Linked DNA regions of Ovis aries. Each later gene encodes a partner of the first gene's protein in a complex. Links are inferred from orthologs where the notes say so. Each region holds a gene or a part of one and is shown on either strand. Other genes may lie near its edges. The genes, in order: POLR3B and POLR3GL.

Region 1 (4,305 bases):
GAGACTGACACCTTAGTGCTGCCATTTCTGGAGATGAGGAGGCAGGGATGCTGCTGAGGCAGCCCCTTTAGTCTGAAGGGGCGACCAGGAGTTTGGCTGGGGGTATGTTAAATTTGAGATATCCATTAGACATGCAGGTGGAGATGCCAAATAGACAACAAATGAGTCTGGAACTTGGGAAGAGTGGCCTGGAGATCTAAGTCAGGGGAAGTCAGCAGACGGACAGGAGTGGAAGTCATGAAACAGATAAGACCATCTACGGAGTGTAGGTGGAGAGGAGCTCCATGAAGCTGAGATCAAAAACACTCCAACACTTGGAGCAGCAGAAAGCACACTGAGCAAGAGAGATCGAGGAGTGGCCAGAGAGGGAGGCAGACAATCTGGAAAACGGAAAAACATTTTTTAAGAAATGATAAGTGGGGGCAGGGGTAAATAGAAAATCTCTATACCTTCCTCTCAATTTTGCTCTGAACCTAAAACTGCTCTTTAAAAAAGTCATCTTTAAAGAAAACAAAAATTTTTTTAATTGAAGGATAACTGCTTTTACAGAATTTTACTGGTTTCTACCAAACATCAACACACACACACACACACACACACACACACACACACACACACAAGAAATGACTCTAGCAAAACTAATCTATGATGACAGAAATCAAATGGTGGTGTAGGGCTTAAACTGAAAAGGGCACTTTCTGCAACGATGAAAATGTTCCATATCCTGTATGGGGTGGTAGTTACTTGGGTATACATAACTGTAAAAACTAATGTAAATGAACACTAACTAAGTACTTCTGCATTTTACTGGATGTAAATCTACAAACAATGAAAGACAGACCAAAATGGACTACATGAGGAGAGTAGAAAGAGCTTGAGGAGCTGGAGTGGAGAGGGGGCAGGTGGGAAGAAACAAGCTAGAGAAGTAAGTGGTAGCCAGATTGAGAAAAGCCTTACCAATATGGTAAAGATTAGATTTTTTTTTTTTTGCCCTGAGAGCAATGGGCAGACTGAAGAATTTTAACCAATGGAGCAATATGAATATATCTGCATGTTTAAACTGATGGCCCTGGTGACAGAGTAGAGAATAATGGGACGAGTAAGAAGCCAAGGAAGTAACAGATGACAGTGGCTGGCTTGGAGAACAGGGGGAATGCCAGAACTGAGTACATTTTGTAGTCGGGGCCCTTAAGATGGGATGGTGGACTGGATGCAGAGGGTCAGAAAGAGGAACTTTTATTTCTAAATCAGAAGACTGAAAATACGTTTCTGGTCCCTTCATTGCTGTGCAGATTCAGAGAAGAAACAGAAATCCTGCAGCTCTCTGGAAAAGCAGTTCAGTCAGCAGCTAAGGTCAGGAGCTCTGGAGTCTGACTGCTGAAATCCAAAATCCCCAACAGTCACTTAATGGCCTTCTGACACTGGGTTACTTACTTAACATCTCTGGGTCTTTAAAATTTTCATTGGCAAAATGGGGCAAAAATATTACTTGCTTCGGAGGATTAAATAACATAATGCTCACTAGGTTTGAACACAGCTGGCACATAATAAGTGCTCAGTAAATGCTGGCTCTTAAATAGCAGTTCAAGAGTTAAAAATTCAAACCAACTATACTCCAATATAAAATAAACAAACAAAAAAACTTAAAAATCCAGTATTGCCTAAAGAAAATCACCATGTACAAAGGCACTCACAGAATCTAACACTGACTGTAATTCGTCAGAATGTAATCTGCAGAATGATTATAAAGAAATTGATTCATTGATCTTGTCAGTCATCCTGCTTAAACCTGTCAACAGCATCCCAGGCCTCCTACAAATGTCTAACAAAACCTTTCATAACCAGGACCCTTATCTGTCACCTTTAATCTCTCCTCTACTTTTCCACACTCCAATACTACTGGATTTATTTTTATTTCTCAAAAATATCAGATGGCCTTGCCTCCAGGTTTCAAGTGTCTTGTTCCCGCTACGTCAATCTCTCCCTTGACTATTTCTCTATGGCCCCAACCGATGCAAACTAAAATTTTGAGCCCCAGAGAAGTTATATGTCTTTCCACAAAATAAAATTATATCAACAGCTGAACTTCATCAGGCAGCTCAGAGTAGGATGCTGCTAAGTCCCTTCAGTCGTGTCCGACTCTGTGCGACCCCACAGACGGCAGCCCATCAGGCTCCCCCGTTCCTGAGATTCTCCAGGCAAGAACACTGGAGTGGGTTGCCATTTCCTTCTCCAATGCATGAAAGTGAAAAGTCAAAGTGAAGTCGCTCAGTCATGTCCGACTCTTAGCGACCCCATGGACTGCAGCCTACCAGGCTCCTCCATCCATGGGATTTTCCAGGCAGGAGTACTGGAACGGAGTGCCACTGCCTTCTCCGCAGAGTAGGATAGTTATCCTTAACTTCTGAGAAGCTGATGAAAGCTACAGGGTACTCCCCGAGAAAACACTTAAAATTTGGAGTAAATTTTCTGGGCACTTAAAATACTCTTGCAATCCCAACTTGAGTTCCCGGCGAAAAGGAGAAATTACTAGCCTGGGATTCAGACGATTTGGTTTTACCACCACAGCCAGCGCTAAGCTCCCTGGACCTCAGCATCCTTTATAAGAAAGCAAGCAATACGTCCCCCAAGGTGGGTGAGAGTCAGTCCTCCCCTGACAACACACGCACACTAGAATGGGTGCAACGCCGGAGCCGTGGGCGGGGCTGCTAGGCCAGCGTGGCGCCTGCCAGCTCCCCCAGCTCAACCATTGCACGTGGGTCCAGCGGTCCGCTAGGGAGTGAACTCGCCGAGCCCCGAGCCAGCGCTGAGTCCTGAGCATGCGCAAAAGACGCGGCCCGCCCCCCTCCACAGCAGGACTCTCGGGGCAACGCCTCTCGGGGACGCATCACGGCCTCTTCCGCTCACCATCTGCCCTGCACTCACCTCTACAGTTGGGATCGGCGCAGCCAGCTGCTCCGGGGTCAGGTTCCCAAACTCTTCGGCAAGCAGGTCCATGCTACTCACAAGGAACCAGACAGTAAGCAGAATACTCACGTGTGCCTCCCCTGCGTCAAGATATCCACTGTACCTGTGGAGAGCAGTGCGTGGTGGCTTAAAGGGTTCGCCGCACAACTTAAAGGAGGAAGAAAGGTTCCGCCTGCTGTCGGTCGGAACCTGCGGTTGAACCCGGATGTGGCTGAGGTGGCGCCAGGAAACTGCGCCCTCTGGTGTCCTTCGGAAGTCTCGCGTGGGTAATCTGAAAGCCAGGCAGGGTTGTCGGTTCCTGCGATCTCAGTCAGTCCGACTCTTTAGGACCCCGTGGACTGTAGCCCGCCAGACTCCTTTGCTATGGGATTATCCTAGCAAGAATACTAGAAACTGTTAGTTGCTCAGTCGTGTCGACTCTTTGTGACCCTATGGACCGTAGCCCGCAAGGCTCTTCTGTCCATGGAATCCAGAGGATCTTCCCGACTCAGGAATGGAACCCCGGTCTCCTGCGTTACAGGCAGATTCTTTACAGTTTGAGCCACCAGGGAAGCCCCCAAAATACTAGAGTAGGTTGCCATTTCCCTCCCCCAGGGGATCTTCCCGACCCAGAGGTGGAACCTGTGTCCCTTGCTTCTCTTGCATTGACAGGCGAATTTTTTTTTTTTTTTTTTTACACTTCACTTCCTGGAGAGCCCCAGTTATCCCATGCTGCTGCTGCTAAGTCGCTTCAGTCGTGTCCGACTCTGTGCGACCCCAGAGAGGGCAGCTCACCAGGCTCCGCCGTCCCTGGGATTCTCCAGGCAGGAACATTGGAGTGGGTTGCCATTTCCTTCTCCAGTGCATGAAAGTGAAAAAGGAAAGTGAAGTCACTGAGTCGTGTCCAACTCTCAGCGACCCCATGGACTGCAGCCCACCAGGCTCCTCCGTCCATGGGATTTTCCAGGCAAGAGTACTGGAGTGGGGTGCCATTGCCTTCTCCGCAGTTATCCCATAATTGAGGCCAAAAAGCATATTGTTTTAAAAATATTTCACAGAAAAGGGTAAAAGGAGAATTTGCACGACTTGAGCCACAGAAGCATAGGAATCATTTAATTTAGTCCCAAACTACACGTATACTATGGAAAAGTAGGAAATATACCAAATACGTGGTAGGAGGGGATTGGTTTAAAAACTTAAGGTACGTGTGTGGTGGACTACTATACAGCCATTAAAACGACCACAAAATGAGGAGGAATTAACTTTACCTAGAGAGAAGGCAATGGCACCACACTCCAGTACTCTTGCCTGGAAAATCCCATGGATGGAGGAGCCTGGTAGGCTGCAGTCCATGGGGTC
Region 2 (3,503 bases), on another chromosome or scaffold:
TTTTCTCGTGTGACTCCTTGGAATTGATTCTGAGGCAATGTCCTTAGCACTTTAGTTTGTGTCAAATTTGGGGTTTTTTCCTTTCTCAGATGTAAGCTAAAACTGGTCTACTATGTCTCTAGGGGTAAGCACAATGACAGGGAAAAAAAAAAGTGTTCCTGCTTTTGAGACTTTGTCCCAGTGTACAGAATTCTGCATTTCTGACACTGATCACATGAGAAGGGTTGCTGCTATCAGCCTTGCCCACTGTGACTTCTCCAAACCCAAGGAGGAACCCTAGATAAAATGCCCCAGCACTGTGATGAGAGCATCCAGATGTTGCCATGAGAAACCAGAAGGCAGATCTTCACAGAAGCCCCAAGGGCTCACTTCCTGCCCAGTGTTAGGAGACAGGGTTGTTGACAGCCCCTGTCTCACTGCAGCCTCTAGCACTTGGTCAGTCACTCTCCGCCTTAGCACTTTGTTCACTGTCCTGTGTCAGAGCTCTGAGCTCTATCTACCCTTTTCTGAAAAAGTATGTGGGCTGAAGGTGGTTTCATTTTTTGTTTTTTAATTGTATATCTTTTTGTATGAGAAAAACTATATTTTGTACTTAACCAGATATATTTTTCACCCCAGGTGGGGGTATTCTTTGTAAAAAAAAAAAAAAAGAAAATAAAAAGTTTTTTAATGGCAAAAAAATGTTTCTCTTCTTGTCTGTAAGATAATATTGAAGTTATTAGAAAGAAAATGTGCCTAAAGGAGCTTTCCCCCTTACTTCACAACTCAGATTGTTGAAAACCCTATAGAGAAACCATTTCTTATTGATCCTAAGGACTATGGTCAGAATGGGGGTGAGGAGGGAAGGAATTTGAGCTACATTGTCTTTTGTCCGATTCACTGAAGAACTTCAGTGAATAGTGGGGTCTTCTGGTGGTCTGATCTGGTTTTCTACATCTTTAGTTAATCATTACTAAATTTCTTCAGCTTTGGAGTATATAAGGCTTTTTTTGTTTGTTTATTTGTTTAATGAGCTCCTAAAATACAGAGAAATGAATTTTGTAAGGGCATTTGGGAGGAAAGTGTTATGGTACTTTTATTTCTTATTTTGGTTTCATCATAGTTTCTTGCCAGTAAAAATGTGGTTTATATGTAGGAAGACAAAACAGGACTAAAGGATTTTTACAGTTAATGAATATCAACTTTTTTGAAGACAGCTACCATTTTTTTTTAAATCTCTGCAGCTCCTAGAACAATTCCTATTCAGGCACATGATCATAACTCAGTAAATGTTTGCTGAACATTCAAATCCACCTTCCTCGTTAGGGTATGGTTTACAGTTCCTGTTACTTCTTTGTAGAGTAATAACAACAGATTGATACCACAACTCCACCTCTAATTGAAATGATTATTATTCCTAAAGGAGTGACTTACATTGATAAACCCTGAGATGGCAGAAGTTAACATACTTTCTGATTTCTGTTTCATTTAAACTTCTGCAGACAAATTTAGTCTTAGCCTTTATTGGGAGAGGGGTGTTGGCTTTTCTGTGGATCTCCACGTAGTAATTCCCAACTTCAGACTCCTAAAAGTTCATTAAAAATGAAAGTGTTAGTTCAGTTGTGTCTGACTCTTTATGACCCCATGGGTTGTAGCCCACCAGGGTCCTCTCTCTCGAATTCTCCAGGCAAGAATATTGGAGTGGGTAGCCCTTCCGGACCCAGGGATTGAACCTGGGCTCTGCATTGCAGGCAGATTCTTTACCGTCTGAGCCAACAGCGTTCATAAAATCAATGTAAATTGAACAGAAAGTGAGATTGAAAAGATTCTTTTGCAGTTGTCTTTGTGTCTAGCTTTCATTCTCAGTAGTTGTTTTGCGCCTCCTGTTTTTTCTTTATCAAGGCATCAGGTTCTAGCTCTGTTGCCATGGTGACTGTCACCTTCACTCTCACCTTTGCCTCCTCCATTTCTTACCTGTTCACGAATTTAGAGCCTCCTCCCTCTTTCAAATCTGTGGCCAGATTTGAAACCAGGTCAAAGTTGATGGAAAATTTTTCTGGAGCTTGTTTTCCAGGGACTGGAGGGGTGGGGCAAGGACAAGAGCTGGCCAGAGGGCAGGACAAAGAGAAGGGGAGACCATGGAGCACACAACTCTGGTTGTGTACACAGCCTGGCTACTGGAGTGTGATACAAGGGGATGGAGAGGGTAGATAACTTACAGCCAAGGTCTGATAGAGACTTGAGCCTTGAAGGGCCAGAACATATGCACCCTCTCCTGATAGCATAATAGCTCAAATCCAGCACAGTCCAACAGAACTTCTGTAATGATGGAAAGGTGGTACATTTGCACTAATACAATAGGCACTATTCACACGTGACAAGTGCTCTGAAATGTGTGGCTGCTTTTACTGACAAACTGAATTTTTATTTTTGTTTGTTTTAAATTTAGTTAGCTCTATGTGACTAGTAACTGGCACAGAAAAATCTGAGGAAGGAAGGAACCAGCTATAGCTCTTCACCCAGAGGAAATACATCCCTCCCTTAAAGCACAAAAGTCTCTACTGGACTTCCTTTTGACTTTGATACACAACTCCTACTTCACCTCAGGACATCTGCATATGGGCTCACTTAAGTAGTCTTCCTTGGGTCCTAGCCCAGCTGTTTCTCCATTTAAGTGGGTGGATATTTTGGGTCTTCCTTTCCCATACTCTTCTCTTATGTCTATTAATTTTTAAGGAACTATAACCTACATATACACCCATTAAAGGAGATCCAGTTCTTAGTATCATTTATTCATTAGGTCTAATCTGGTATTGGAAGATTTAAAAGAAGACAGAAAACTAAAGAGAGAAAATAGAGAAAGTAAAATTAATAAGAAAAGAACTGATACTTCTACAATCAGGATCCTGGACCATCTTGATAACTCTGAACACACTGGAAAAAAACAAAGATATAATTTGGGAGGGAAAAGTATGGAGATCTGACCAAGCACCTGGTCAATAAAAAAATCACACAAGAGCTAAAGGTTATGAAGTGGGCTGAAGAAGTGACTTTTGCCCAGTTTTTTCACTACTATATAGACCTTTTCCTAGAATTCCTTCCATGGACTATCTCTAGGTGACAGAATGCATAAGATGGATAAGGAAAATGTTTTGCTGACCCTCCAGTAGCCCAGCCCTTGTCTCAAGCATCCTGAACTCAGTAGTTCTGGAGTGGAAAAAAAAACAAAGCAACTTTTGTCTCAGTTTCTGTTCTGTCCCTACATCCATCTCCATTTCCTAAGCTGAAAAACTCCCTCTCAGAGATAGCTACAGATCCAGGGCTGCGGTCCTGGAATAGGTGAGTCTATAGCCTAGAAAAAGTTCAAGACTAGCCTTCTTATTTAAGGAGAAATAGTATAGTGTGGTAATTAAGCACATGTACCCTGGAGTCAAGCTATCTAAATTCAAATCCTACTTCTACCACTTAACAAACTGTATGACCTTGCAATTTGTTTAACCTGTGCTACAGTTTATCTGTAAAAT

What was found.
Region 2: POLR3B (region 1) and POLR3GL share a complex: the UniProt entries of both Homo sapiens proteins name them as parts of the RNA polymerase III (Pol III) complex. The link is inferred for Ovis aries from reciprocal best matches to the Homo sapiens genes POLR3B and POLR3GL.

The regions. Positions count from the first base shown.
Region 1 is NC_056056.1:175,319,087-175,323,391, reverse strand, and holds the start of POLR3B (DNA-directed RNA polymerase III subunit RPC2), read right to left. Parts: upstream 3,097-4,305; 5' UTR 2,998-3,096; coding exon 2,926-2,997; exon of another isoform or gene 2,851-2,925; intron 1-2,850. UniProt on the Homo sapiens protein: Catalytic core component of RNA polymerase III (Pol III), a DNA-dependent RNA polymerase which synthesizes small non-coding RNAs using the four ribonucleoside triphosphates as substrates.
Region 2 is NC_056054.1:99,305,273-99,308,775, reverse strand, and holds the end of POLR3GL (DNA-directed RNA polymerase III subunit RPC7-like), read right to left. Parts: intron 1,565-3,503; coding exon 1,397-1,564; 3' UTR 534-1,396; downstream 1-533. UniProt on the Homo sapiens protein: DNA-dependent RNA polymerase catalyzes the transcription of DNA into RNA using the four ribonucleoside triphosphates as substrates. Specific peripheric component of RNA polymerase III which synthesizes small RNAs, such as 5S rRNA and tRNAs.